Linked DNA regions of Elephas maximus indicus. The protein of the gene in region 2 purifies or fractionates together with the protein of the main gene of each other region. This does not show direct contact. Links are inferred from orthologs where the notes say so. Each region holds a gene or a part of one and is shown on either strand. Other genes may lie near its edges. The genes, in order: FBXW11, NFKB1, IKBKG and SP1.

Region 1 (7,435 bases), on a different chromosome or scaffold from region 2:
TCTTTATCCCACTAAGTGTGAATATTCATATTGTATCAGTTAGGGTCCAGAAACTACCCCATTAATTTGAACAGGGAAAATTTAACTAAAGAATTGTTAACTAGTAACCGGGATTAAGTACTAAGGGGTAAAGACAATGGTAAAGAATACAGAATAACAGTAATAGGGAACACCCACTACCTTTGGGGCTGTGGTAGAGTATACAGGGAAGGAACAACTTGGAAGAGCCCCCATGTCCAGCCTCCACCACAAGGCTGAGAGTGTGGAGAGAGTGTGATTATGGTCCACTGAATGGTAAAGTTTGCTGAGGTGCTACAGGTCAGGGCTGGCAAGCGGGAAACTGCCCACTTAGGTGCTACTGAACTAACTGGGAAGCCACCCTCTGGATGTCCCAGCCACCTGTGTGTGTGAGGGGGTGGGGTGAGGGTGTGGTTCCACAGGCCACTCACCGCTGTGTACCACAGAGGCAAGAAGGAACAGAAACCATGCTGGAACAAGGAAGAGAAGACCCTTCATTCTGCCATGTCCCTTAGGGCTCCCTACTGACAAAGCTTAACACTATGTCAGCTGGCAGAGGAGAAATGTTTACAGGGTCCAGCTCAGTATCTCAAGGCATGAGGCAGAGTGAATATGGAGCTGAGCAGCTGTAAATTGATAACACACACATATATATTCTGCTGCAGAAAAATCAATATATGTGATTATGGAGCACTGTCCTAGACCCCCACTGAGAATGTTACATTATATAGGTATAGTATATATTCCACACTGCCTTTTTACAATCTAAAAAATTCTGAAACATCTCTAGCTTCCAGGATTTCTGTTAAGGGATTGTGAACCAGTTCAACTTTGTTGTTAGCATGTCTTATAAATCCCACTGCAGGGCATTCTGAAAAAGTAGGGGAAAACATGCCTCAAGGTCTTCTGCCTTTGTCTATCATCAAATCTAATCACCAGCTGGTATCAAGCACGAAGCAATAACAATACCTGAGCACCTAAGTTCTAGTGTGAGAAGAGAAAACGGTGATAAGCCTTGGCTCAGCTTCCTTCTTACACAGCTTGGGTAAGAATCTATCTCATGCATGCGCTTTTACCCCAACTGAGTTCCTGGAGTTTGTACAAATAAGATCAGTATTTTTTCCTCTTAAGGTGGGGTATGTTTTTCATAAAGGGACGCTATCTCTTTATAGTTCCAAATTCAAATACCTGTATGGGTTAGGCATGTAACTTTAAATGAGTGAAGCCTACAGATATAAGAGAACATGGAGTGATGATGACTGTGGAAAACTATAGGATAAGTATGTGCTTCATATGAATAAGGTAGTGGCTACTTAGTCCCTGCAGATTACCATGCAGATCGAACAGTCAGATGTTCTAATTTTTTTGAGAAGCTAGAAATTCAGATTTTTAAAATGCTGTCAAATTTTGAAACAATAAAGACTGTAGGATAAACAAACGTATTAAAACTGGCTGCCACTGAGTAGATTCTGACTCAACAGCAACCCTATAGGACAGAGCAGAACTGCCCCTAAGGGTTTCCAAGGCTGTAAAATTTACGGATGCAAACTGCCGTATCTTCCTCCCGTGCAGGAGCTGCCACGTTCAAACTGCTGACTTTTTGCTGAGCAGCCAAGCACTTTAACCACTGTGCCACCAGGGCTCCTAAAACGAACATATTAGAGAATTTTATTCAGCTCATGACTTCTACTCCTTGGGGTTAGGTCCTGCAGCAGGCACCAGGGCCTTGGGGGACTCGGTTGGTTGTTACATTGGTGGACCCCCAACAAACCATGCATCTCTGTATTCATACTTTTGTAGAGCCCCTTTCTACACTGACTCTGGGGTTTGGCATATGACTTTCTTTGGCCAGTGTGGCATTAGCAGGTGGGGTGCAAACAAGTTTGAGTAGCCTTTGCTCACTGGGCATTGCATCCTCTTGGATACTAGTCCCCATCCAATAAAGAAGCTTGGGATAGATAACGAATGGAAAAAAAAACAAGTGGAAAAGAGAGGCCCTTGAGGATAAGAAGTCATTTTGAATGAGTTTACAGCTGAATGCAATGCAGTCACAGGAGTAACCTGCTTACACCATGTGATGTAAAGTACTGCCCAGTCGACCCACACAATTGTAAAAAATAATAAACCACAGTTATTTTAAACCAGTAGGAGCCCCTGGGTGGTGCAAACGGTTAATGTGCTCCACTGCTGAAAGGCTGACGATTCAGATCCACCCAGAGACACCTTGGAAGAAAGTTTTGGTGATCTACTTCTGAAAAATCAGCCATTGAAAACCCTGTGGAACACAGTTCTACTCTGACACACATGGGGTCACCATGAGTCAGAACAAACTCCAAGGCAGCTAGTTTTTATTTTAAGCCACAATAGGTACTAGAAACAGAGGTTATTCTAACCCTGTTTTACTAACAAAGTTCCCAAGGCCCAGAGAGGGAAATGGGCCTGGTGATACTCATACAGCAAGTTAATGGCAATAACTTTCTATTTCTGTGATCTTTCTTCCTATTGCTTTTCTTTCAATTCTGTTGGTGGAATGCATCAGGTAAGGACTATGAAACTTCCAGCCTGCAGGAAACTTACACTGTGTCCTACCTGTATGAAAAATTATTTTATACATGCATGGAACCCTGGAGGCTCAATGGTTAAGAGCTTGGCTGCTAACCAAAAGGCTGGCAGTTCGAATCTACCAGCTGCTCCTTGGAAACCCGATGGGACAGTTCTACTCTGTCCTATAGGGTCACTATGAGTTGGAATCAACTTGACAGCAATGGGCTTAGTTATTTTATTTTTTTTAAGCACATATATGTTGTTGTCGTTAGGTGCTGCTGAGTCAGTTCCGACTCCAGGTACAACAGAACAAAACATTGCCTGGTCCTGTGCCATCCTTACAATCGTTGTTATGCTTAAGCCCACTGTTGTATATATATACATGCATAAAAATTACTGCAATAACTTTATCCCTGGAAATGGTAAGATTCCTAGGTCCCCTCACTTTACAGGTGCAGGAAATGCAAAAACACTTGAGAAAGAGAAAAGCAGCCTCTGGCATTTGAAAGTTGGTCTGGTACGATCAGGCCATGATGTTACTCAGCTAGGCCCTGTGTTCTGTTGAACATAAACAATTTCACAGAACGTAAACTTCACACAAGGTCATTCTGTGACCATGATAAATCAAGACAAAAACAAGACCACTCACTCCACAATCTTGTCTGAACACAGATAAAATATGAACACTGTCCAAACCACAAAAAAGACTAAATATCCCTCATCCTGGCTAAGGGACTGTTGCTTCCTTACCAATTACAACTTTAGCCTCAGTCTAGGCCTTCCCTCCCTCCAGAGAATTACCCTCATTTCCTGACAGCGACCAATCCAGAGAAAAGCACTCACCTCTTTAAACAATCACCTAACCCAGTTCTTACTGAGATGCCCCACCGTTTTCTATGGTGTGCTATCTCCCTCTCACCCAACTTGTGTTCCTGGTGGTCTGTGGCTAAAGGGCATTGACAGACCTGATAAAGTTCACACCCAGTAGGAGGCAGATTCCACTAGGAGTCTCTAGGTTTCTAGCTGTGTTCCTTTTTAGCACCCATCACTCTTCCGGTTAATATGTCTTCCTCTCACTAAGAATTAAGTTCCATAGTGAAAACAGGGGCCTCGTCTGCCATGTTCAGAGCTGATTCCAGTGCCTAGAGCAGTGCCTGAATGCTTAACAAATATTTTTGGAACGAATAAATGAGTAAGAGTGGCTCAATATACACAGGTTCCCTTTCATTTCTCAGCTCCTCCTAATTCAGGCTGCACATCGACAGCAGCACAGCACATCTCCATTAACTTCCTCTTCCCCAACTAAATCTTCAAACTCCTCACTCCTGGGATGCCCACCCTCTCACAGCTCCCTCCCTTGCCCGAGTGTCTCTTGCAAACTGGTTCATTCCCATAACTGAGCCCCAAGACCATCCTCTCCTAACGCAACCGAGAACCAACCTGTCTCCAACTTCTGCCCCTACCACCACACATCCGTGTACCGGCCGCGCCTCTACCTAAGCGTCGAGTGGGCACTGCGGCCACCGACCGCGCATGTGCGGAAATTGGCCGCACACGCAGGATCTCTGGCAAGTGAGGAGTTGCCTCGGAGTTTCCGTCCGGGTCTGGGCAGCCTTGGGCTGTCAGGAAGTCGGGAGAAACTAGCCGGAAGAAGAGCCCGCGCGCACGGGTTTCTGGGACATGTAGTCGTGGCGCTCCCGAGGCCCAACCCTGAGTGATCCCTTAATTCTTCAGGTCTGTACATCCCACATGCACAGTCCAGTGCTACTTTCAGCCCAGAATTTAGCTTCGGGCTGCCAGGAGAGATTGGCCTGGCGTTGGCTTCCCGTTCCCACAACACTTTGCGGGGGCCGCGGCGCCTGCTGGGAGCTGTAGTTCCCGCTCTGCGTACTGCGTTCGCCGAGGGGGAGGGCGAAGCTGCCGGCGGCCCGGGCGGGCTGGCAGCTAGAGTGGGTGCGATAACCGCCTGCGCTTCTGCCGCCTCCGCCGTCGCCTCCTCCGCTGGGGCCGTTCGCTGCTGCGCGGGGAGAGCGAGGCGGGGCCGCCGGGGCCGCCATGGAGCCCGACTCGGTAATTGAGGACAAGACCATCGAGCTCATGGTGAGTGCGGCCCGCTGGACCGACCGTTCTTCCGTCCGTCCGGCTCCAGGGCGGTCCTGCCCACCTCAACGTACGGCGCGAGGCCGGCCCTAGCCCTTCCCCGCCGCCTCGGCCCCAGCCTGGGCCTCCCGCCTCCCCTGGCCTCGGGCCCGGCGCGGCTGCTCTGGATCCCTCGAGATTTAAGGCCGGACCTGGCCCGGCCCACTCCATTCCCCTCATTTCTCCCCTTCCCCTGCCCCGTCCCGTCTCCGGGCCCATCTCTGGGGCGACCCTCGCTCGTTTATGCTCTGGCCTCAGCTCACACTGCTCGCTCTAGCACCTCATTCTCTTCTTGGAAGGGCATTTTTTTCACCCCTCTATTTCTCTGGCCCAGGCCCGCACCGCGCTTGCAAGACCCACTCGGGCCGAGTGAGGTGGGAGGGGGTACAGAGGAGATGGTCAGGGCCGCGGCGGCCTCCGCGCCCTAGGAGGGGCCTCCGCGCCCTAGGAGGGGCCTCAGCACCCTGTTCCCCAGCTGGGGCTGTGTGGGTGCCCAGATAGGCCTTACAGGGCTGGGGAGTGAGGAGCTCTCGGGTTTGAGGCTGTGACGGATGGGCGGCCTCTTTCCTGGGCCCCTGTGGTGTCCGGCTGCTCGGACAAAGGGTTTCCTCACCGGCGGAGAGGGACGTTTGCATAGCCCTGCCTCAGGTACCCTGGATTCCATCCCCCAGGAAAGGGAAACCGTAACTTCACGCTTATAGAGCTGCTTTGTGAAATTAGGGAGGAGGCATCGTCCTTATCACTGCCGCCAGTTCTTTCTTCTCAAAAAAAAAAAAGAGAAGAGAGAGAATCCTTGGCCCCTGGGGGAAATGATCACTCTTCTGTTAGAAACCATGGGCAGCAAGGCCAGACTGCCTGACCCGGGGATACACTCAACCCCCTTCCGCCTTAGGACTTGGAGCCAGAAGGGCCTTTTAGAAACAGGACCATGAGAGAGTGGCTAGTAGAAGTGAGGAATTTGCTAAACGGTGGATGACTTGGTGGAAGGAATAAAACATGGCAGGTATTACCTACTAATTTGAACATTAGGGAAATCAAACGGCTCTGGAGAGTTGGGGGGAGGAAGTCTTTGCCTCAGCGATGAACATGCCCAGTGTTTTTTTTCCTGTGGAAACCTTGACAGTTTCTTTGTATCTCTCCTCACACAGTAACAGTTTTTACTCCAGGGTTGAGAGGAAAGGTGAAAGAATCTACTTAACCTAGCAAAATGTTTTCCTAGCCAGATTTTCTCCAGTGTGGAAATGTTTTTTGAGTCAGTGATTCCACTGGGTAGGGTCGGTGACATCAGAGCCACTTCCCCCATTTAATGCTATAAATAATAAATGGTGATACTGAAAGTCTGTTAGATAGCCGCTTGGTTTCTGTGGATGATGGTATCTGGGGAGTTGAGATGCATGTTTTAAAAATGGAAGTACAGTAGCATAAATACAGAGGCAACTTAATATTTGCTGTCCTTTGCATAATTCACACAACTAGACTTCCCCAACATTCTTGAGAACTAGAGAAACAAACCAAACTCTGGTAGTTTCTGATTTTTGTGTGGTTGTTTTCAAAGGGGGTACTGTCAATTGTGAGTTTTTATTTTCACTTATTGAGTGATTTTTCCTTTTCAGCATAATTTATCAAATTATTGTAGTCAAAAATTTGATATTCTGCAACTTTTGTGGTAGATTATTTTGGTAAAATATCTTAATTGAAATTACATGTGTAGTATGCTTAAGGATGTGCTTATACAATACATGTACCTACAACTGGAGGAATACTTCATATTGAAAAATTGTAACTTGGTACCTCTTTGAAATTGGCTATTCTGAGCTCCTTCCATTTCCATTCACTTAAAAAATAACTAAAATGTCTTTATTTTCGAAGGGATTAGGAGAAATACAGTGAAACCCAATTCACTGTCTTTGAGTGCAAGGGTAAAAAAAAAAAAAAAATCCTGGTCCTAAATTGGCTCCCTTCCGTATTCATAAGATAAAAAGTTTTGATATTGTATGATAGTACTTGTCGCGGATCTGGAAAGAGATTCCAGTCTTTCAAGGACACTATAAACTGAAATTCTTAGAATATTTAACAGAGAGTATAGTAGTAACGGTCAGTTTTAAAATGGCTTTTCATGTAAGAATTTTGATATTCCCTGAAAGGGATATCAGTTAATACTTAAACAACCCTTCACATGAACATGCATGTATGTGTTTTAGTATAGTAGATAGCACGTTTAGCTGCTGACTGAGTAAACACAGGGTCAAATGTAGGAACGGTAATGCCTTAAAATCTAATTGCACCTGGTTTTGTGTATTCACTGCATTTTAGTAACAGTTTCTAGAACTAGGTTAAAAACATTTTTTACATTGGTCTCAAAATAACATGATTGATGGAGGGGAAGGAGTTAAAGTGATGATATTTTGAAAGCCTAAAACATGAAATATTTTTAGATTTTATGAGTCATCTTCAATACTCAAATATTTGTGATTGCGCTGCCTGTACCAGTTTAGTATATAATGGTTAACAAGGTAACATCCACTCGACATCCCAGAATGTGCTATATTAAAAAGAGAAAGCAGACTTTTTGGGTCCCTCCATTTCTAAATTTTCATCCCTCTACTTTCTTTGATAATTTTTCTTTTTGCACTTTTGATAAATTGACTAGCAAATAAAACCGGTGATAGCAGAATAGTTAAATCTTCAAAATACAATCCCTATTGTGACTCCTACCCCCTTGTGAGGCATGGGC
Region 2 (6,896 bases):
CTGGTTCCTTGTTTTTTCACCAGTGTCTGAAGTGCAGCTTGGACTTCTTCCTTCAATACTATTGGTTCTTGATCACAAGCTACCTCCTGATATTGTTGAACATAGACCGATTCCATAGCAATTGTCCAAACCAAAAACCAAACCCATTGCCATCAAGTCAATTCTGACTGACAGTCAATCCTACAGGACAGAGTAGGACTTCCCATAGGGTTTCCAAGGAACGGCTGGTGAATTCAAACTGCCAACCTTTTGGTTAGCAGCCAAGCTCTTAACCACCTCGACACTAGGGCTCCGTAGCAACGGTAGTGAATATTCATTTAAACTGACAGAAAGATGCTAGTGTCTATAACATCAATGATATTCTCCTGTTAAATTTATTGATATCTCCATTTCTTTGCATTTTCATTGTCAAGAGAATAAAAGTCTGTATTCTACATGTGATCTTAAAAGAAAGATGGTTTCTTTGCCCTTTTCTATTAGGTTTATTCTTGATGATACAATCCATTGTAAAAATCACTTTTGTCCCGGTTGCTACATAAGAAGTCATTCTTTCTGGCTTTATTTGAGGAGCAGAGATTATATCTTCTTCTTTTGTAACCACTTATAGAGACTAATTGAGCACTCTCTCTATAAGATCTCAATTAACTGTGCAAACACAAGACAGAATACAGCAAGCATTTTAATGGAGGTGTAATGAAATGAAATATTTCCCTATCAGTAGGGAGAGATGCCACAAAGATAAGTGTATGGCCTAGTGGTCAATGGTGCAAAAGTTTATTTCTCTTAAAATTACGAGGAAATTAATTTCAAGTCCTTCACCTTCAAATAACTGCTTATAGTAGTACAGGCCTTCATCTCCCTTCAATCCTTTCTAGAACTCTGTGAGGTACGGCTATAATGTCATGCTTATTTTACCAGTGAGGAAACTGAAACTCAGACAAAGTAATTACTCAGATACCAAACCAAAAGCCAAACCCGTTGCCGTCGAGTCAATTCTGACTCATAGCAACCCTGTAGACAAGTAATAGACAAACTACTACTCAGCCAAAGTCACACAGGTAATTCAAGGCAAAGCGAGGACTCCAACTCAAGTCTGATTTTGAAGCTAGTGGAATCTTTCCATTTTGTCATTGCTCCTATAGCCAAGAACTGTGCCCCAGGTGTTCCTAAGCATGTTGAGTTGGCTCCATGACCCAAAGTAAACCATATGCACCCTTTATCGAAATACAATTCGCTCCTGTTCTATCCTCAAGATGGACCATGGAGTTTATGATTCTGTATTTGTGAGTCTCCGTTGCACACTATACAATTCCTCTTTATCAATGTATACACTATACAGATCTCAACCTCAGCATTCTCCAGACACCAACATTTCCAAACAGGGTTTTGTGAGAAGGGAAATTCTTGTGGTCCCAAATATTTTAGTGACAAACAACATGACGGGCCTTTTCCACAATCTCAATGCCTAAAATCCCGCACTTAGGCTTTTTTTTTTCCTTTGTAAATAAATGATAAATGTAAATATCCCTTGACACTTTAGGGTGAATGCATTTGTAGGCAGCATTCATGGAAGCAAGTATGAAGACAGTTTAGACAGAATTTTGAGAAACAAAGTAGCAATACAGAAAGGTTAACTGGTGATTAGAAAAGAGTAGACTAGAAACTTTTACAGTTTTGTCTGCTTCATACCTCCACCCCCAATTTTAAGTTCATTCTGTGGGATCATTGAGAATTGAAAATCTAATTTAATCATTTTCACCAATTAACACCTTTAATATTCGTTCACAAGAATGTCACAGTGGCTTCACACTTGTAACAATCCTGTCCCTCCATCATTTCTCCAATGAGGCTGCCAGCCCTGCTGAAAGAAAAGCGTGCGAGCTCACCCCTGTCCCATGAAGAGATACAACTCTCCTAACACTTTATTGTCTCCTGGGAGTCTGCAACCTTTGCACGCATGTCAGTGGCAAAAATCACTTCACAAACTATGTATCAATTGACTAAAATATAGTATTGGCAAAATTTATAATAATATCCTGTAAATAGTAACACAGGATTTATAAAAATTCATTAAGCCTTTAAAAAAAAAAAGTTGCCATGGAGTCGATTCAAACTCATGGTGACCCCATGTGTGTCAGAGTAGAACTGTGCCCTGTAGGCTTTTGGACGGCTGATGGATCTCTGGGTGAATTCTAACCTGCAACCTTTCGGCTTGAGCTCAGTTAACCATTTGCACCACCCAGGGACTTATGAATCCCCTGAATTCCAACTATTCACTCTAGAAGCTAAAAGAAGTAGCTTAAAGGTAAATTGTTGAGCAATCCAAAGATCACAGGGGCTCACCTCAGACCAGTTTAATCCCAATCAAATGATCCTCTGCTCTTCTGCCAAACGCTTCAGGGGGAAACAGGCCTGCAAGGCAGAGCGGAAACTTGCTAGGGGCAATCTAGTATCTTGCAACACTGCCTGGTTGTTACCTGATTCCTGACATTTTAAAAGTAAATTTGCAGAATTGTCACTGAACTCAGTAGTGGGAAAAAAAAAATTTTTTTTTTTAAAGGTGCTCTAAAACACACATCTGTTTCAGCTCAAGATGTCTTATCTGGGGAGCTAATCCACACCAGGGCATCCCCAGGCCCGTGCCTAGCACAATGCCTGGCATGTAAAGAAGCTCAAATGACCAGTGAATGCTGGTCACTGACAGGCTCATCTGTGGTTTCTAGTAGCGGTCCCTTCAGAAAAACAAACAAAACAGAAAATTTCCCTGCCAGATCAGTATGTATTTATGGGCTGTGACCGGAACCATTGCTACCACCATCACTATAGTCTATCCACAGTAATTATTATAAAAGCCTAGCAATGCCCTGTAGATGAAAGTTCTGGATAACTGCCATATAACCAGGGGGTTTAAGATCTCACTAAAAAAAAAAAAAAAATTAAAAGTAGATGTTTATACTTCACTGGAAACAAATCAATTATAATATTGAAATTCCAGTTTAAATCTGAAGAGACGTGAGTGTAATTGAGACATACTTAAATGGAACACACAGATGAGATTTATTTTTATAAACGGTATGCTTGGATCCTTGCCGACCCATCCCCTCCAGCGGGTCGGGCCTGCGCTGAGGGGCTCTATGATGGTCCGACTCTAAGAACTGCACAGCCTCCGCCTCCGCGGCCTCCGCACCGCCTGCTTCCAGGGACAATCCAGCCCCGCCGGCGCTTCTAGGGGGCGTCCCCACTCGGGAGCGCCCAACCGGCAAGTGGCAGCCCCGCATGGGGCCCCAGCGTCCCGGCCGCCTCCCTCACGCCCCTCGTCCTGCGCCCCGACGCGGCCCAGGAGGGCGGGAGCCGAATTAGGGTAGCGAGGCCGGGCCGGGGGCGCGCGGGGCCCCCAGAAGTGCGGGCTTCCCCCACCCCCGGCGGCGACCCCACCTCCCGCCTCCGCCGCGTGCGCGCGTGTGTCCGTCTGTCTGTCTTCTCTCTCGACGTCAGTGGGAATTTCCAGCCAGGAAGTGAGAGAGTGAGCGAGAGAGAGAGCAAGAGAGAAGTGCACCAGCGAGCTGGGGCAGGAAGAGGAGGTTTCGCCACCGAAGCGGCCCGGCGACGCGCTGACAGCTTCCCCTGCCCTTCCAGTCGGTCGGGCTCCCGCCGCCGCCGCCGCCCACGGCCTGCGCCCTGCCGCCCGCCCCGCTCCGAGAGCCCCTCGCCACCCAGGCCGGAGCCGCCGCGGCTGGGAAGACGGCGCCGCTGCGGCCCGGCCACCGCGCGCCCTGCGCTTCCCTCCGCCCGCGCTGCGGCATGGCGCGGCGCTGACTGGCCCGGCCCGGCGAGACCGCGCGCCCTCCCGCTCCTACCCGCCCCGCACCCGGACAGCTTCGACTCCGGCCTCTTCGTCCCCGAGCCCCCAGGCCCGCGCTGCCCCGGACGGGGAGCCCACAGGCGCAGTGAGGCCAGCGCAGACTCGCGACCACGGTAAGCCAAACTCGGGCCAGTGGGGGCCACGCTAGGAACGTGTGGCCCGAGTCCCGCCACCAACCCACCCCGCACCCTCTACAGCCGTGCTCGCACTTCCTCATTCCTGCGCTAACCGCTGGGCTACACCGTAGGAAGAGGTTGACAGTAGTTGCGAAGCACATGGGATTGGCGAGAGAGGGGAAAAGACATCCGGACATCGCAGGCGCCGATCGGCCGAAGGGCCGCAGCCGCTGGGGCCGTCCTTTCCCTTCCCCTCCATGAACTCCAGCTGGGAACGGGAACCTTAGGGGAACTCTTTGCAAACTTTTTATTTAATCCTCACCCCCACCCCCGTTTGGGTGGTGGAGAGAGGGTTGAGATGCACTGTGGCGCGGAGAAGACTGGGGAAGGTGGTTGGTGCAGTGCTGAACCAGATTTCACCTAAGGGCCTTTCCATAAAATGAAAGCAGAAGTGCATGTCAGTCGTCTTGGCTTGGAAAACCCTCCCTAACTCCTCAGAATTGTATAGGAGAGGCTTTCTCTTCCTTCTGTTTCTGAAAGAAACCCCATTTCACATACCCTGCACACACCCCAACCGGGATATAGTATATTCACCTACTGTAGAACCTGTACGTTAGTTTTCAAAAATAAGAAGGGCCTGACATTTGAGAGGGAAAACAGACTACCTACTTAGATCACTTTTGAGGCCTCTTGATTTTGTAGAACACTTGGACAGTGGCACGTGCATAATCTCTAAAACAAATGTTATAAATAAAGCTTATCCCAAATGCAAGTTTTCCTGGGGTCTTTAAAATACACCCAGATGAGGATGTTTGCTCTGATTCATTGGTCTATCCTGAAACTTAAATAGGACTTAATGCAACAGGATTTGATTAGCAAGGTTTCAGACCTATTTATGGACTTTGTTAAGTAGGGTTTTTCAGTATTGTATCTTATGAAATAACCATATTTAACGTAAAGATTTTGTTATAAAGCTTATGAACGGAAAAACGATTATGGATTACTAAAACATTTAATGGCTTTGGCATAAAAATGTTCTTCCACCAACTGGTCATCTTTGATAAACACGAAAGCTTGGGATCTAGATGTTCGGTGATTATTTTTCTAGCAAAATTCTTCAACTGAATATTCTTGAGTAGTTTACGTGATTGTTGGTTAAAACTTTAACAGGAAAACTTGATTAAAACAAAGACCTTAGCTGAAGAATATTGTTTTCCTGATTTTAATATTGTGCTTTCTAGAGATGAATCCTTTTACCATCTAATGCACTATAGAAATCGTGTAAATAACTTAAAGCAAAAAAAAAAAAATTTTTTTTGAGCTTCTGAGATTGGGGAGATAGGAAATAAGAAATTTGTTTCCTGTAGCATTTTACATTTATCATGTAACTGAGTTGCTAAAATGAAATGAACATATATGATAAGGGAAATGGGGACTCTCCTGAGATGATTCATCCTTGTTGATATACCTGCAACTCCTAATGCCCTCCAGAGCTTGTTCAGATAAAATGTCTTCCTGGGCCAAAGCCTACTGGACAGACTGGAACACAAAGGAAGACTCATTACATGTAGATTTAATGCTGAAATTAAATACTGCTTGTTGTGAGTAGCAAACCACTTCTAACAAGTTTGAAAGACTTTTTAAAGAAAACAGTACAATCCTATTAGGACTTGGTGGTAATTTGAAATGCTGTTATCTTTGCTTTGAAACTTCAATTTATTGGTATTTTCTGCAGTTTGCACTCACTTGGCCTGAATAAATGCCCCTGTTGTTCAAACTCAGTTAGTAAATACTGGAGTATACATACAAAATAGTCATTCCCCTTTGTAAGCACTACTTTGATCTTTGCACTTCCTTTTTACCTCTTAAACAAGATCATCTGTGATGACTGAATTGCAGTTGCAGGAAGCTCAATTAGTCTGAAATGAGGCAGGATTTTAAATTCAGTAATCATCTAGCTCATATGTCTCTTGTCATTGTTCCTTTGAACAAATTGAAGGTAGTTTGAGAAGTTAATATCTATGTACGGCTTTTTAAATTATTATTACTGGTTTCAAACGTCCAGATAATGATGAAGTGTGTTACTACTTAGACTTTCAGGGATTGTTCATTGTGGTAGAAAGGAGGTCCAGATAAGGAATTGGCGGCTACTTGGATCTTGGAGTATCATTCAGTCAGCAAGGCCTTAAATGTTTTACCTAATTTATGAGAGGTATTCCCCTGTTCAGAAGAGGTGAAAGTTCTGGCTTCTGGGGGGAAGTGGTTACTCATAACCTTCAATTAGTTTGAACTTGGGAGAAATAAGAACAGTAGTTGGCATTTTAAAACAGTAAGTTAAAAATTATGTCTAAGTTCTCATATGGATTTTTGATAAAGCACTATAAAAAAAATACCATCTTTTTCTTCTTCAGAGTTCATGAGGAGTAAATGTGCTGCCTGAGCACTGGCGAGGGCCCAGTGGGAAATGTACTTAGGACTGCTGAGTAGTTTAGCCTGTAAAGATTCAAGTTATGCTCTCCTGGTCTGCAGATCTAGCTGGAAAGGAACCACATTAACAGGAATGAATGTATACAAATCAGTGTCTTACAGAGTTTCTGGTTAATTTGTCCTACCTTTTATAGGAAGGTGTCTTTTTTTTGGTTGGTTGATTGGTTTTCTGTTTATAATATGAATCCTATATGTTTTGATTGTTGGAAGAGGAGAAGGAAGAATAGAATTTTAGGACTGGAGGAGACTGTAAGACGTTTTGTTCCTGTTCCTACGTTTACGTCTGATCAGACTTTTCTCTCAGTTCAATGACAACTGCTTCTTGGTGACCAGTAAACCACACTGGAGCTATTTACCCTTGTTGCTGGGAATTATTTCTCATTTGCGTTCTTGCACTTCCCATAAATACTGAACTCACAGTGTTCATAGTT
Region 3 (7,597 bases), on a different chromosome or scaffold from region 2:
TGGCCCAATGTCCTCCTGGTTCAAGTAGGGAAACTAAGGCCCAGAGAAGCAAGGGGATTGCTGAGGATGCCATGGTGAGTCCACTTTGCTGAGCAGATTCCCAGTCCTGCTCTCTCTCACTCCCTTGGCACCCCGCCCCAATGCCGTCCGTGTGGGAGAAGATCCACTAGCCAGCCTCATGGAGCTCCTATCAGATGGAGGAAGATACATCCTTCTAGGTCCAAGGTTCTTTCCCCCACGCTGGTCCATAAGGAGAAACTGGTTTCTTTCATTTGAGCTTTCTGGGCTGGGATCCCTGCCACTGGGAAAGTGAGCTCTTCTACTCCCTTCCTGGGTCAGGGGTGGGGGTGGGGGTGGGAAGAAAGGCCTGAGAAAGGGGAAGTGGCCACATAGCAGGGAGACAGGGGCTCAAAGCTCGTTTTGTAACTCTGTGAGGCAGAATCAGGCTGCCCCCAGGAAGAAGCTGCAGTGTGGGTTTGGGTTGGGTAAGTGGGTGCAGGAGGCAGGAGGGGCAGAGCATGGCCACATGGGTCTGACCTGCTCAGGTTCTGGGCCCGCTAGCCACTGGCCTCCTGTCAGCTTCTAGGTCACATCCAGTTTGCTCTGACTCAGGGCTTTGCCTCTGCTCTTCCCTTTGCTCAGCAAGTTCCCCTGGGGCCTCGTGCTGCAGACCTCAGTATCAGGTGCCTCCCCCTCCCCAGGGCCCACCCTGACCACACCTCTCAAGGCCTCTGGCCCCCTCCCAGCCCTGTTTGTTTCTCCTGTCACAGGTACTGCTCTGAACTCACCTTGCGTCCCCAGCCTCCCATAAAGCACAGGGCCATGAGGGCAGGGATTGTGGCTGCTGTGGTCTTGGTGTTGCCCAATGCCTAGCACAAGGCCAGGGACAGCAGAGGCCGGTGACGGCTACTTGTTGAATGAGTGAGCAGAGAACGCAGTTTCCCAAAGCACCACCCTGCCTACCTCTGCAGCACAGGATGGGAGCTGTTCCAGGTGCTATCAGAGCACCCCGGGTGGATGCCCCCACAATGCTCCCTCTAGTCCTTGCTCCAAGGGAGGACCTGCCCACCCTGCTCCAGTCCCCTCAAGCAGGAGAAGAGTCAGGAGAGAAACAACACAGGCTCTTAGGAGGACCCCTGGCCCTGCACTCCACGCTGCGAAGCCAGCACTTCCCATCTCTGCTTTGGAACCTCTGGCTGTTGCCCCTGGGCAGAGGAGAGCAAAGGGGAACCCTGCTGGTTGCGTTGGAATAGCGTTGCCTAACCCCAGGCTAAGGAGCCCTAGTGGTGCAATAGTTAAGTGCTTGGCTGCTAACTGAAACACTGGTGGTTTGAACCCACCCAGCGACTGGGCGGGGGGAAGATCTGGCAATCTGCTTCCATAAAGATTACAGCTTAGAAAACCCTATGGGGCAGTTCGACTCTGTCACAGAGGATTGCTCTGAGTTGGAATCGACTCGATGACACCTAACAACAACAGCCACCACCACCCCAGGTTGGCCACAGGCGAAGACAGCAAAGAGCCATAAAACCAGCTCGGCAGAGCCTGTGGACCCTTGTCATTCATTCAGAAACGCTCAATTGATATGTGCTGAGGTCTAAAGCCCCAGATCACACAGCCTATCTGGATGCTGTCAATGATGAGACCCAAGACTCTACAGATGAGTCTTAACCCATCTGTGTGGGACCTGGCAAACTCTGTTGGTGTATCCTTGCAACAGGCCAGTGTGGGGATGGGGAAAGGAGAAGAAAAAAATCCCGAATTATTTTCTCTTTGAGCCTGTTTCAGGGACTAAGGGCCTCACAGCCAGGATACTAGGTGTTAAGGTTTGTGGCTGATGCAGATATGACTCCTCTAAGGGGACCGTGTGCTTTGCCTGGGTGGGGGTGGACAACACCCACCTTTCTCAGGTTTTGGGGTTCTGGGTGAGGCAGAGGGCAAAGCCCTTTTCTCTCGTACTGGCTCTTCTCCTAGAGTACAGCTCATTCTAGCTTGCTTGCCTTCTTGTTATTTTCGGCTCTCCTTCCCAATTTCTGACCAAAGACACAAAGGCACAGAGCAGGCTCTGTAAAGGGTGGCGGCAAGTTGTTCTCTGTGAACAAAGAGCTGCCAAGTGCCTCCAGCACGAGGGGGAAGGCAGCCTGTGGTGTGAGAGTTGCAGAGCACTGCCCACTCTGTACGGCTCTAGCTAGTTTGGGTAGAACTCTTGCTCAAGATTACATAATCAGTTAATGGCAAAGATGGCCATATGAATGCTAACAGGTTCTTGGTCACACTCATGTTTAAGTCAAGAGGCAGCCCTGGCTGCAGGTCTAGCAAGCCCCTGCACATCTCACGCAAGGCAGATCTTATCTGCATATAGCACACTGGATAGGGGCTGTGGTCCGGGGGCCACAGCTTTACTAGGACCACCCCCTCGGCCCCCCAACCTCTTCCTTACATGTGCTATACCTCTGCCTTTATATTGATTCTTTGTCCTTCCCTATCAAAGCAAAATGGCAGTTCCACAAACTAGACACTTGGGGTGGGACAAGGAACAGCTCTTTAGCAGGCCTTAGCGGTTGGGGAAAAGATATGGTATGAAAAGCAAAGCTGAATGTTTGTCCCCAGGGATGATGAGGTGGTAGAAAGAGGTGATGATTGGGCCTCAGATCTTTCCTCTGGAACAAATTAACTGTGTGATGTTCATCAAGTCACCGACAAGTTTGAAAAAGATGCTCCCAGAAAGAATAGCTTCCCCTGTCTGCGGCTCAGTTTTCTCAGTGGAGGGGGAGGAAGTCCCTCAGGCCCTTCCAGTTTCAGGTCTACTTTCAAGGTCTGAGCATGGATTTAGAAATGCCTCCCAAGTGTCGGTACAGCAAGGAGTGCTGTGATGACAGTGGTGCCTGGGCAGGTCACGGTTATAAGAGTGAAACCTCGCAGTGCCTGAGTGGCCGCTGCACAGTTAGTTGGGATAGGTCAGGTGCAGAGCCAGACGATGCCTTGGGCAATGTCACACAGTAAGTCTGGCTTCTGAGATGTGGCTGTGGGAGACTCACCGAGGCGCCCATGATGATGAATATGTGTGTATCAGACTGGTGGAAGGCATCGCCCTGGTACAGCTCTTCCCGGAGGATCCCGCACACCTGGGTCCGGCTCAGGGCCACCTGCTCAGCCATGGTGTTCTCTGGGGAAAGAAAGGCTCGTTGACAAGCCCACAGAGGAGAAGCACCTGGAAGGGGGCCTCTAGGCTCTCAGCAGGCTGACGCCTGGTTACTGAAACCACTGGCTGTGAACGTGCCCGGGGCGGCCAGGTTGGGTTAGAAACTCTTGGCTCTGGGCTCTGGCCATACTTTCCCAGGCTCCAGCCATACTCTCCCAGGCTGCCTTCTTTCAGGGAGTACATTCTGGACCTCACACAACACGATCATGACCCTTTCACTCTAAAATCCTGCACTCAGGCGGGAACTCATCAATGCGCGGGATCCTGGTAAACTTAGCGGATGATGGAGTCCGCTTCAGCTCTACTGCTGCTAACCTGGGCGACCCCGGGCAAGTCCCCCCTTCTCAGGGTCTCAATGTCCTCACTGGCCCGATGAGAGGGGGGTTGCATTGGACACTATGATCTGTTAAGGCCCTCTCACTCGATCCGCTACCAAGTACAGCAAATACCGCCAATCCAAAGGACGTCTTGAGGTAGCGAGCAGCACGTCCTTCCGCTCTCTCGGTCCGCCCGACTCGGTTACCTGTACCGCCTCGCTGTCGCCTGCAGCGCTCGCAGCCCGGGAGTGCGCGCTCATTTCCGGGGGCTGCGCCCCGCGAGCCCATTTAACCGGCGGGGCGGGGGCCTCAGCTGAGCTGATGGGCCTCAGGCGAGGCGCGCGGGGCGGGGCCTCGACAGGCCCCTCCCGCGCGGGGCGGGCTGGGGCGACGGTGCGGGGGTGGGGGGAAGAGGACAGGTGCGCGCGCATCCCCGGCCCAGCTCGCGCGCCAGCCAACCCCCCCCTCCACCCCGCTCTCACTCCGCCCCTCAGGCACCTGCGCCGGCCGTCAGGCCGTGGACTGGCTCCCGTCCCCGTTGCGGCTGCTCCGCATCACCGGCCGCCTCTCTAGGGGTGAGGCTTCGCGCGGCCTGGTGCAATTCCGCGTCGTTCACCGGAGTCCCCATCTCCAGCCCAGCCCAGCCCCGCCCTGACATCCTGGTTTTCCCGCCAGCCCCCAGGCGACCATGAGCCCTCGCGGAACGCTCGACTTCCGCCGGCAGTGTAACCACGCCTCCTCTGGCTCCTCCCCCTGGCTTCGGGGCAGGGGTTCTGAAGCCCCGCCCCCTCACGGACCGGTCGCCTGCTCTCGCGGGTCAAACCGGCCCTATTGGTTGGCCTCGTCTTGGCTCCTCCCCCGATAGGGGCGGGGCGATCGATCGCCCCGGGAGGCGAAGGGAAGTGGAGGTTGCAACGTCTTGGAAAAGGGCAGGTGGCTCTCATCGTTTGGATTCGTGGTCCGCGGGACCTACCGAGGATGGTGGACTCGCGCTTTCCTCGGTGCAGGCCTCGGCCTTGAGGGAGGTGCCCGTGCAGCTCTCGAACTCACCGGGACGGGGGCTTGCCAGATTCACTTCCGTATCCCACGGCTCCGACACAGGAAGCCGGAAGTGCAGGTTTCGGCTGCAGGAGAAGGGAAGGGCGACCGCTGAGCCGGGACTTTGTTGGAGCGCTGGGGATTGTAGGAGCGCTCGCGCCCCGCTGCCCCTGCCCTTTTCGCATCGGACCGACTCTGCTGACAGGTGTGGTCCTCTTCCCTGAAGACAGGGTACCATCGGCGGGCGCTCCGCCGCCTCTCCTAGACTCCCCGGGTTTTCCGGACTGCCCCCTCCTTTTGGGCCCCGGGCTGGTTCCTGCCGCGCGCTTCTAGAGCACCGGCCGAGGCAGGCGGATTCAGGATCCAGGCTACTTCAGCGGCTAGCGGGACTGTTTTGGCACCCTGTCCCTCCGCCGCGGGGTCTGACTAGTGTGAAGAGGACTCTTTCCACTTAGGAGATATTTTTTTTTTAGTTAAGAGATATCTTCTGTCTATCAGACTTGAATGCATTTGAGGGCGTTAAGTCATTTAAAAACACCTCAAATATAGCAGCTAAATGTCTTACCTTGTATAGCTCAGTTTGGTCGCTTTGCAAAAACAATTAGTATCTGCCGAACCTCATCCCATCCCTACGACCTGAGGATGAATGAGTTGTGCCTGGCTTGTTCAAGGAACGGCAGAGCAGGCCAGTGTAGCTGGGGCAGCGTGAACAAGGGAGGGAATAGTTGGAGAAGAAGGAATAGGGACCAGATGGGACAGGGCCCTGTAGGCTGATGTAGGGACTTTGGCTTTTACACCGAGGGCAGTGGGGAGCCATGGCATGGTTCTGAGTAGAGGAGGAACATGATCGGAAGTACCTTTTAGACTGTTTTTGCTGCGTTTGGGAGAACAGACTTAGCGGGGCAAGGGTAGGAGCAGGGTGACCTGTTAGGTTATTGCAGTTATCCAGGTGAGAGACCATGGTGCCTTGGGCATTTTATTATGGACAATTCCAAAGATGTACAAAAGTAGAGAAAATAGTATAGTAAATCCCATGTACCCACCTTCCAGCCTCTACAATTATCAATTGTGGTTAATCTTGTGTAGTTTATACCCTCCGCAACCCTTTCCCATTATTTTTATTACTGTTAATAACACCTAATGAGATATAATTCACGCACCATACAACAAACACCCTTTTAAAGTACACAACTTAATGACTTTTAGTGTATTCCAAATTGTACAACTATCTCCACTACCTAATTTCACAACATTTTTATCACCTCAAAAAGAAACTGTGCCCTTTAGCCATCATCCCTCATTCCTCACCTGCCTCCTCCCAGCTGCTGGTAACTATAATCTATTTTCTGCATCTACCTGTTCTGAATATTTCATATAAATGGGGTCATACAGTATGTGTTCTTTTGTGATTGGTTTCTTTCACTCAGCATGTTTTCAAGGTTCATCCATGCCAAAACATGTGTTAGTACTTTAGTTCTGTTTATGGCCAAATCATATTCCATCGTATGTGGATGTGGAGCTCTGACGGTGCAGTAGTTAAAAGCTCAGCTGCTAACCAAAAGGTTGGCAGTTTGAAAGTTCGAATCCGCCAGCTGCTCCTCGGAAACTCTAAGGGGCAGTTCTACTTTGTCCTATAGCGTTGCTGTGAGTTGGAATCGACTTGATGGCAGTGGGTTTGGGTTTGGTTTGGTATACAGATGTACTAAAAAAAAAAAAAAAAAAAAGATTTTGTTTATTCGTTTATCTGTTGATGGCATTGGGATGGTTTCCAGTTTGGGGCTGTTGTGAGTAATGCTGCTGTGAATATTCACGTGTGGACATGTGTTTTCATTTCTCGAGTGTACTCCTAGGAGTTCCCCCATTATTTTGAAGCAAATTTCAGGCATCGTATAATTTCATTTGTGAATATTTGGGTTGCATTTTTCTAAGAAAGGATTTATTAAAAAAAAACAAACTTAACTGTGATATCCTTATCACATCTAACTTAACATTAATTGCTTAGTGTCATCAAGTGAATTTGGGGATGCATTTGATAGGACGTTCAGATGGATTAGATGTGGAAGAAAGGAGTCCAGAATGATTCCAGGGTGTCTGTCTTGATAACTGGAGAATGGATTTGCCATCAGCTGGTAACGGGGAAGGCCGGGTGGAACTGGCTTTTGGGAACTCTCAGGGGTGCAGTTTTAGATCAGTTAATGTTGAGAGCACTATTAGATATCCAGGTAGAGATTCCGTCTGGCCTGGAGATCTCTGATTTGGGGAGCCATCAGCGTTCAGTGATGGGGCTTAAAACTGTGAGACTAGATGGAATTCTCAGTGGAGTGAATGTAGCTAGAGAAGAGGTCCCAGGACAGAGCCCTGGGGCACCCCAACATGAAGGGATGGGGAAAAGAGGAGGATCCAGCAAAGGAGCCTGAGCAGGAGCAGCCAGTGAGGCAGGAGGGGAACCAGGGGAGTGGGAGGTTCTGGAAGCCAAGGGAGGAAGGTCTGTTAAAGAATCGGGGGGGAACCCCAAACCTACTGCTGTCGAATTGATTCTGACTCATAGCGACCCTCTAGGACAGAGTAGAGGTTTCCATAGAGTTTCCAAGGAGCGCCTGGTGGATTTGAACTACAGACCTTTATGGTTAGCAGCTGTAGCACTTAACCACTATGCCACCTGGGTTTCCAAGGAAGAGGGAGGAATCTAGAAGTTCCTCCTCCACATAGTCCTCCCGGGCAGGATTTCAAAGGGCTTGGGCTGCTCTCCTGCATGACCTACCTCCACTCCACAAGAGAATACAAGCGGCTCAGGCTGGCTCTTTGCCCCACTGTCTCAGGCTGAAGGCTCAGTTTTCACTTTCTGATACCTCAGCACCGATCATATGCCGGGGGCTCCTCACTCCCACCCCCTGCCCCCAGCTCCAGGGAACGCTCACCAGGCTCTGAATGGTTTAAAAAAAATGTTTTTTGATAGTAAATCCTGGTGGCTTAGTGGTTAAGAGCTACCACTGCTAACCAAAAAGCAGGTTGAGTCCACCAGGCCCTCCTTGGAAACTGT
Region 4 (7,932 bases), on a different chromosome or scaffold from region 2:
TGCAGCATTCACAGTGACTGTGCCAGCAGGGATGGAGGCAGCTGAGGCAATGGGTGTAAGGGTGGTGTTGCTGCTGCTTGTCTGCCCCAAGGAAACACCCTGCATTGGAGCCAAGGTGATTGTCTGGGCCTGTGGGTTCTGAACTTGGAGGTTCTGCAGCTGAAGAGTCTGCCAACTGACCTGTCCATTGGGCCCCACCGTTGGTGTCCGGATGATGATAGGGCCAGAGTTTGGAACAGCCTGAAGCTGGAGGTTCTGGAGGGTTTCCTGGGAGATAGCTTGAGTTGTAAAGGTCTGCCCTGACAGTGGTGCTGCTTGAAGGGCCTGAAGGGCCTGTCCCCCTTGAACTAGCTGAGGCTGAATAAGAATCTGTTGTTGCTGTGTCTGCTGGTTTTGCTCTCCCTCTTTTTGCTGACTTGTTTGCAGTGAGCCTCCAGATGTCTGGTTCTGCTGGATGTTCAGAGCATCAGACCCCTGTAGCCCACTGACCCTCTGGGGTGTCTGGCCTTGAGAGTTGGTCCCTGCTGATCCGCTGGTGGTAAAGTTCATAATTCCCATGTTGCTGGTGGTAGTAGTTGTTGAGTAGCTATTGGCATTGGTGAAAAAGGAGCTGGAACTGGCTTGTGATACCAGACTAGCAGAACTGATGGCAGTCCCTGAGGTGACAGGCTGTGAGCCACTCTCCTGGGACCCAGAGCTGCTGATCGTGACTGCCTGAGAGCTGGGAGTCAAGGTAGCTGCAGAAACGCTGTTGACAGGTAGCAAGGTGATGTTCCCATTCAGGGCCACTGGTACATTGGTCACATACTGAGTCTGTCCTGAGAGCACATTATTAGCCAGGCCTTGCAGGGGGACAGCCTGCTGGAGCAGGTTTGGCATAGCAGCAATGATGTTGCCTCCACTTCCTCGATTTGTGATAATCTGTTGGTTTGCACCTGGTATGATCTGAATTTGACCAGAACCATCCTGCTGCACTTGGGCCCCAGTGGCTGCAAATTGCAGCTGCTGCCCATCAACGGTCTGGAACTGTGGGATTACTTGATACTGAATATTGGGCATCACCCCAGGCAGTCCTGTTAGGACTTGCTGGTTCTGCAAATTGGGGGCCGCAGCCACAACATACTGCCCACCAGAAACCGTGCGATTCTTGGAAGACTCACTGCCATTGCCGCCATTAGTGCTGCTGCCACTCTGCTCCTTTGAGGTAGGGGTAGCCCCAGAGGAGGAAGAGATAATCTGCCAGCCATTGGCACCCTGTGAGAGTTGTGTGGCTGCAAGGTCCAGCTCACCTGTGCCCCCTGACTGGCTTGGGCCCTGGGAATTGTTGCTGTTTTCATTGGGTGACTCAATTCTGCTGCAAGTTGCTGCTAAAAGAGCCAAAGGGGATGGCTGGGACTCCTGGTCAGAAAACAAGGAAGAGAAAAGGAGTTATTGACACCCAGCTGCCAGCCTAGGAGGACAGTGCACAACAAATAAAGAACAAAATAGTGCAGACAAATAACGACTAAAAACCAGAAACAAAAAAACCAATCTATCTGTATTGCTGCAATTTCCATCTCTGGGGATCTCCAAGTCATTTCTCTCTCTCTATACTTACTTCCTCTATCTGTAAAACTGTTTAGTCCTTTCCTAAAATTTTTTGTGTGAGTAGTTAAAACAATTATCTAGGAGTATTTACATGCTCTCAACATATTCCCCACACTTTATCTCTAATCATCACTTACCTGACCTCCTCCTCCTCCACTGCTGCTACTGCCTGTGCTGCTGCTGCGAGCCTGAGAAAAGGCACCACCACCATTACCACTGCCCCCATTATTGCCACCAACTCCTTTTTCAATCTTCACCACTGTTGTCATTTCATCCATGGAGTGATCTTGTTCTAGAATGAAATAAAAATAAACAACATAAAATTGGGGAGAAAAAAAGGGTAAAAGAACATTATGATGAAACAGAAATGACTAATAGGAAGGTAAAAGGTGCCTGTTGAAAGAAAATGGATTAGGGGGGAGCAGTTGTAGGACAATATGACGTGAACCAGGCTCTATGGTGCCAGAACTGGGCCTCAATTTTCCTTTGTACAAAATTAAACTCAGAAAACATTCAAAAAATGCTTTTGGGATAGGAAATGTGAGGGACTGTGGGTATGTTGAAAGAGTTTTAAAATAAAAAACATGCCAGGGGAAAAAAGGGAGAAGGCCAGGTAAGGCAAAAAACAACATGTGGGTGGATGGAAAGCTTGCTAAAATTAGTGTTAAAGGACACGGAAAAAGAAAAAAATACAAACATAGAAAGTAACAAGAGAACAGAAAAGGGAAAGATAAATGATGAAAAATGTGAGTGGAGACACATTAGTAAATACAGGTAAGGAGCTAAAGGGGTCTTGGGATTAGAAATCAGGTTTCGGGGCGGGGAGAAGGCGGGCCCTAGGGAGAAAGGGCGGTTTCGGGGTGAGGGGCGTGGAAAGGGCGGGACGATGGGGGGGAGGGGAAAATACAGAAAAAGGGGGGGGGGAGGGCCTTGGGGCAGGCGGCGACCAGAGGGCGGGCCAGAGAGGCGGTTGGCCCGGGCGGGGCCTGCACGGCTTGGGCCGCCCCCGCGGCTCCAGCCCCCGGCGGGAGGAGCCTCAGGCGGGCAGTCGAGTAGTGGGGGGTAAGGCCCGTCCCCCGTGGCCGGGGCGGGCAGGGGGCGGGCGAGGCCACGCTGCCCCCTCCCCCGGGGCGGGCGGCCCATCCCCCTCCTCCTCCGAGGCCCCGCCACTGCCCCTTCTCCCTCCCTTCCCTCCGCCCCGGGCGGGACCAAGGCCGCCGCCGCCGCCGCCTCCCGCCCGCCCCCCCTCACGGCGGGGACCGCCCGGTCGGCCCTCGCGCGCGCCCCCTCACTCCCCTCCCACCCCTAAGCTTGGAGTGGACTCATCCTTACCGCTCATGGTGGCAGCTGAGGGACGAGCTCAAGGGGGTCCTGTCCGGGGGGGTTGGGGGGGGCCGGGAAAAACGCGGACGCTGACGAGGCAAGCGAACCCGGACCGGACGGGGAGGGGGGGGGTAAGGAGGAGGGAGCAGCGCGCCACAAGCTCGGCCTAGGCCCCGCCCCTTCACTGCTGCCCCGCCCAATGAAGGAGGGGGAAAGGCGGGACTTGTAGAAGAAAGGCGGGCAGGGTATCCAATAGCACGACTCAATTGCTCTCTAGGGCGTGTAAGACAGAAGTGCGTGCCTGGTATCCGCCCCAAAATGCCGCCCTCTCAGTTTTAAAAACCAGTGAAAGATGCAGGAAGTGAAAATGGGCGGGAGCTGGAGATGATAGGCTTGGAGGGAAGCCAGTCAACTGCCAGGCGGGCTCCTTGAGCGGTAGCGATAGGGAGAGTTTTGATAAGAGTGACAGAACAACGACCAACCAGAATTCTGGACATGCCTGGGCAAAGTCCTTGTGGGAGGAGAGGCCGGAACGGGAGAGGATGAAGTTGATCAACACCAATCAGAATTCAGGCGGGCAGCCAGAAAAGTCATGATTGGATAGACACTGAAAAGAGACAGATCAGGACTCATATTGACGTGACTAAAACCCTATTATCCGCCGAATGAACTCTGGGGGCGGGAACCTGGAGGGGGCAGAGCAGAGTTGGCGTCTACCTCAATCGCTCGGCCCAATGAAGGGGCGCAGTAGGCCAGGGACCGCCCCCAAGTTGGCCAATGGGCGTTACTAGAGCCGCCCATCATGGGGAAGGGAACAGGGCTGTGCCAAGAGGAGTTCGTCGCCATATTGGCCCTCCTTAGGGGACGTCTTTTACAGTGATTAGATGGTACACTTAAGCAGTACCCTGTAGCTCCACAGGTGTCAGGGCAAAGACCAAGAAGTCCCTTCAGCGCGCAGTTCTGCCCCACCACCCCGGCTCGTTTGAGTCCTCATTGAACCGCCCTTAGAAAGTACCTCTCACCCCTCCCGAGGCCGACGAATGCCTCTGAGTGTGGGTGTAAGCCCTGTGAGTGTAGGCGAGGTGAGATCTGGCGACAGCACTGTCAAAATCAGTTAATACGGAGCTGACCAATTTACAAGGTTTTTGTGAGACTCTAGCAAACACTATTAAGTTCCCGCAGAGAAAGCACAAGCTACTTGCAGCGGGTTAACTTTTCAAGAGTTTCTCTTTGGGGCTAAAGTGCATTGGAGAACCTCCCCAAGGTCCTAAACGGCTTCCTTTTTTAACCCCCTTAATTGTAAATACCGCGTAAGTGTAAAGCAAGATAGCCGAGTTCCTGTTTCTTGAGACGAAAGTTAAAGGACATGGTTTTGCCCGAGGCCCCTTAAGTTCTGGCCTCCATTTTGCCTCTTTATCCCTGTTTTAGTGGAGGACGACTGGGTGGCTTGTAAGTGACGTAATGAGGTCATTCTCTTTAGCACTTTTATCTTATCACTTCTTTATATATTTTCCTGTTTTAAAGTCTGAATTTCCCCTAAAAGATTTTAAGCCCTTTGAAAGCAGGAACTTAGGCTCTGGTCCTTTGGGCAAGGCTTGGAAGCGATGAAGTGATTGTTGAATGCCTACTGTGTTAGGTGCCAAAGTGGATTAGGTGCTTTGCGTACCTTTTGTCATCTTAATAAGAACGATATTATTAAGTAGTGTTAATATTATTTTATAAGTGAAGAAACTTAAGCTGAAAAGTTAAATAATTTGCCCAAGGTCACAAAGCTTTTAAGTTGAGCCAGATTCCAGACCAGAACAGTTCCGCAAAAAAAAGTCTACAAATTGTTAAGTGAATAAAACAATGCCTTATATAACCATTTGTATAAGGACATTCTCCAATTTTTGTTGTTGTTTTTGAAGAAAACTGCTTTTGCATTGTTACTTTCTATCTCCTGAGAAAAACCTACCTATACACTTTTTTTTTTTATACACTCAGGGCAGCTGAAATGGCATCATCTTGTACACCTTTATTACAAACTTTATCACTTAACCAACATCAAAGTTTCTCAAAATGTAATATCAGTCTGTAACAATCATCTGGGGTGCTTTTTTAAGAAGCAGATTCCTAGGCCTCACCCCAGACCTAGTAAATCAGATTCTCTGTAGTGGAGTATGGGATGAGGTTTAAGAATATGCATTTTTATGCCGTTTTTTCAAGTGATTAGTTCCTAATCCAGAGTTGGAGAAACACTAAGGGAAGAACTGCATTACTCATCTTGGTAAACTAAACACAGGAGATTCTAACAGCTGTTCAGTATAGTCAGCAAAAGACCACACCTAAATTTACTGGGGAAGGGGAAAGGAACTATTTTTAGCACACTCTCTAAACACTTCAAATATATTGTCTAACTTAATCCTTTTAACTGATAATAAGAGACGCCATACCCTTTTACAGATGAGAAGAGAGAGGCTCAGACACTTAAATTATGGCCTGTTGTTTTAGCTCCAAAGCCTGTGGGTTTTTTTGTTGTTTTTCCCATAGTTCTTATAAGCTAGTCTATGCCTGAAATGGAAACTAGGGTTTGGTTTTATTCCCAGGTACTGAGAAAAAGATCTACATTTAGACTCAAATTCAGTAGCCATCCTCCCTTTCACAATTCTTTCCCTTTGCTCTTCCTAGGACTGGATAGAATTCAGCACCTGACCAATGAGGAATGTCTTTGACATATCCTTGCTTATTGATAGTCTCTGAGAGCAAATGAACCATGATCCATCTTGTCCAATTCTCCTGCAAAAACTGTAGCAAAAAAAAATTTCTTTAGACCAAACCAAAAAAATTTGTTTTTAATGCATAAACTTATTTCAGGTCTTCTCAAAATCCTTCCAGTGTCTGTCTACAAAACCATTTGCAAGATCATTTAAATAACTCCGAAGGACTTTCTTTAAAGAGCAATGTGATTCCTATGAACTTGAATTGTGCCTGGCTGTGATGTAGTAAGCCTCACACATACTAAGTGCTAACACAGCAGCATGGCATTGAAGTCTCTTAGTGGTCAGCCCTTCACTTATTCAGGCTCATTATCCATTACTGTCCACTGTACTCTCTTACCCTTCACTTTGTTCTTGTTGAAATTTCCCCCAAAAGCCATGCTTTCTGGGATCTTCAAAGTCTGGACTTTTATAAGTACAGTCCACTCAGCCCGTCTTCCTTCTGGGCTACCAGACAAACTCTTATTCGTATCTTTGATAAGTACAACTTCTCTGAAGTCTTCCCTACCACTCCCAGGTATTGAATATTCTGTCCACTATATCTTTTTTACATACCTCCATTAAAAGTATCTAAGTATCCATTGTCCCCCAACTAGACTAGGCAACTTGAGGACAAAGATGATGTCTTTTCATTTTGTATTCTCAAGATAGAGCATATAGTTGACACCCAGTAAACACTGTTAAATGAAAGGAGAGGCCTAGTAGTGACCATCCTGAATAGGTCTCGAGACACACAATGGAATAAATCATTCTTCCTGATTCTGAAGCCACTCTTCAGCTTTGATCAATTTCCCAGTTATGGATCTGGTAATTATCTGATAATTGGGAACATTTTATAAATTAAAATATACAGATGATCAAAACCCTCCTTTTATACCATCATTATAACCTTGCCTTTCAGCAAACTTTCAACTAAAGCTAAGAAGAAAAAAAATAGTGACTTAAGATAATAATGTCTAAACAGTCTTCTAACCTTTACTTTCTAGCTCTCTGTAACAAGAAAACAAGCCTAAGTTTTTTTCTCATCAGTCTGTAATTAGTAGGCTAATACCGTTTGCAGTGCAATGGTGACTGTAGAGGCTGGATGGGTCATCACACACATCCCTCAGCCTTTTAAAGGCCCTGGAAAGGCAAGAGCCTAATCCAGAAAAGAACTGTAACAAGGCAGGCTTTTTTTGTTTGGGAAGTCCAAAACCTGGCTACAGATATTATTATTACTATTTAAAACAACTCATCCTGTACCCTTTCTGTGCCTTTGTTTCCTTATGTGAGAAGCATTGTGATTCATGCCTGCCTAAACTGTACTAGGAAGGCATTCATTCAGTCCATGGCTGTGATGATCCTGAAGGCCCAGGAGGAGGAAGAAAGGGGGGGCAGGAGCAGGGCCGGATGTGTTTTTCTGTGACAGTTGGGAGAAACAGTCAAGAAAACAATTTAGTTTTTGTTGGAGCTGAACTCTGGCCCAGCCTTCCTGAGTATTCTCTTCTGAAGGATACTCTTAAGATCTGAAGAGGTCTGCAAGAAAACAGCCCAGACTGTAAACCTAGCTGATAGTTTCTGACCCTTGAAGAGTCTTTGCCAAATAAAGGTGGTTTGAGGTCTAGTGGAGAAGAGGAAGAGAAATTCCTGAGCCTGCAAATTCCCAAATCCTTCAGAATTGAGAGCTAGAGAAGACAGGCTCAGGGCACCCAGAGGGGTCAGAGACCAGCCTAGACCATAAACAGTGCAAACAGTGCTTTTCTGCACATTAAATCTGACCCCTAGGGGTTCCTGCTTGGAACAAACACAAAATCAAAACATTTCTCTCCCCCAAAATACTCAAACTCCTCAGGGAGCCAGAGCTCACCAGAGCTAGGAGCTGCAGCAAGAGCAAGACACGGAGAGAGGAAGCCAGTCCTTACTACCAATGTACCCTCCTCACAGACACACACACACACACACACTCCTCCCAGCCACCCTGCACCCCGAGGGCGACTGGAGTCCTGCCTGGCAATTCAGCATTAAAAAAATAAAATAAATTCTCTTTTAACCAAAAATGAAGCAGTTTCCTTTTCTCCTTCCTCTCCTGGGCCGAGTAGCCCTGAGACTCCACCAGAATCCAGGGTTGGGGAGAGAGCTACACCACTCCCAGTCTCCCATTCTCAGAAACGGAGAGTGTCCCCGACAGGGTCAACAGGTCTGGGAAAAAGACGTACCCTCTTCGGGCACCCACCGCAGAAGTTGAAGGAAGAAAAGAGAGCAAGCAAAGGGAGAGGCCAGGGGGCTG

What was found.
Region 1: the proteins of NFKB1 (region 2) and FBXW11 purify together in Homo sapiens (affinity purification with mass spectrometry; 7 studies listed by BioGRID and IntAct, counting the BioPlex papers as one, with this or other methods). This does not show direct contact. The link is inferred for Elephas maximus indicus from reciprocal best matches to the Homo sapiens genes NFKB1 and FBXW11.
Region 3: the proteins of NFKB1 (region 2) and IKBKG purify together in Homo sapiens (affinity purification with mass spectrometry; 4 studies listed by BioGRID and IntAct, with this or other methods). This does not show direct contact. The link is inferred for Elephas maximus indicus from reciprocal best matches to the Homo sapiens genes NFKB1 and IKBKG.
Region 4: the proteins of NFKB1 (region 2) and SP1 purify together in Homo sapiens (affinity purification with western blotting, with the first as the bait; 3 studies listed by BioGRID). This does not show direct contact. The link is inferred for Elephas maximus indicus from reciprocal best matches to the Homo sapiens genes NFKB1 and SP1.

Annotation. Positions count from the first base shown.
Region 1 is NC_064820.1:190,963,559-190,970,993, reverse strand, and holds the start of FBXW11 (F-box/WD repeat-containing protein 11), read left to right. Parts: upstream 1-4,433; 5' UTR 4,434-4,617; coding exon 4,618-4,662; intron 4,663-4,668; exon of another isoform or gene 4,669-7,435.
Region 2 is NC_064823.1:50,252,794-50,259,689, reverse strand, and holds the start of NFKB1 (nuclear factor NF-kappa-B p105 subunit), read left to right. Parts: upstream 1-3,890; 5' UTR 3,891-3,975; intron 3,976-6,896.
Region 3 is NC_064846.1:1,893,302-1,900,898, reverse strand, and holds the start of IKBKG (NF-kappa-B essential modulator), read left to right. Parts: upstream 1-4,597; 5' UTR 4,598-4,762; intron 4,763-7,597. Other genes in the region: G6PD (glucose-6-phosphate 1-dehydrogenase), read right to left, coding at 3,039-3,166, 4,018-4,177. UniProt on the Homo sapiens protein: Regulatory subunit of the IKK core complex which phosphorylates inhibitors of NF-kappa-B thus leading to the dissociation of the inhibitor/NF-kappa-B complex and ultimately the degradation of the inhibitor.
Region 4 is NC_064822.1:108,873,504-108,881,435, reverse strand, and holds the start of SP1 (transcription factor Sp1), read right to left. Parts: upstream 3,011-7,932; 5' UTR 2,927-3,010; coding exon 2,920-2,926; intron 1,880-2,919; coding exon 1,725-1,879; intron 1,399-1,724; coding exon 1-1,398. UniProt on the Homo sapiens protein: Transcription factor that can activate or repress transcription in response to physiological and pathological stimuli.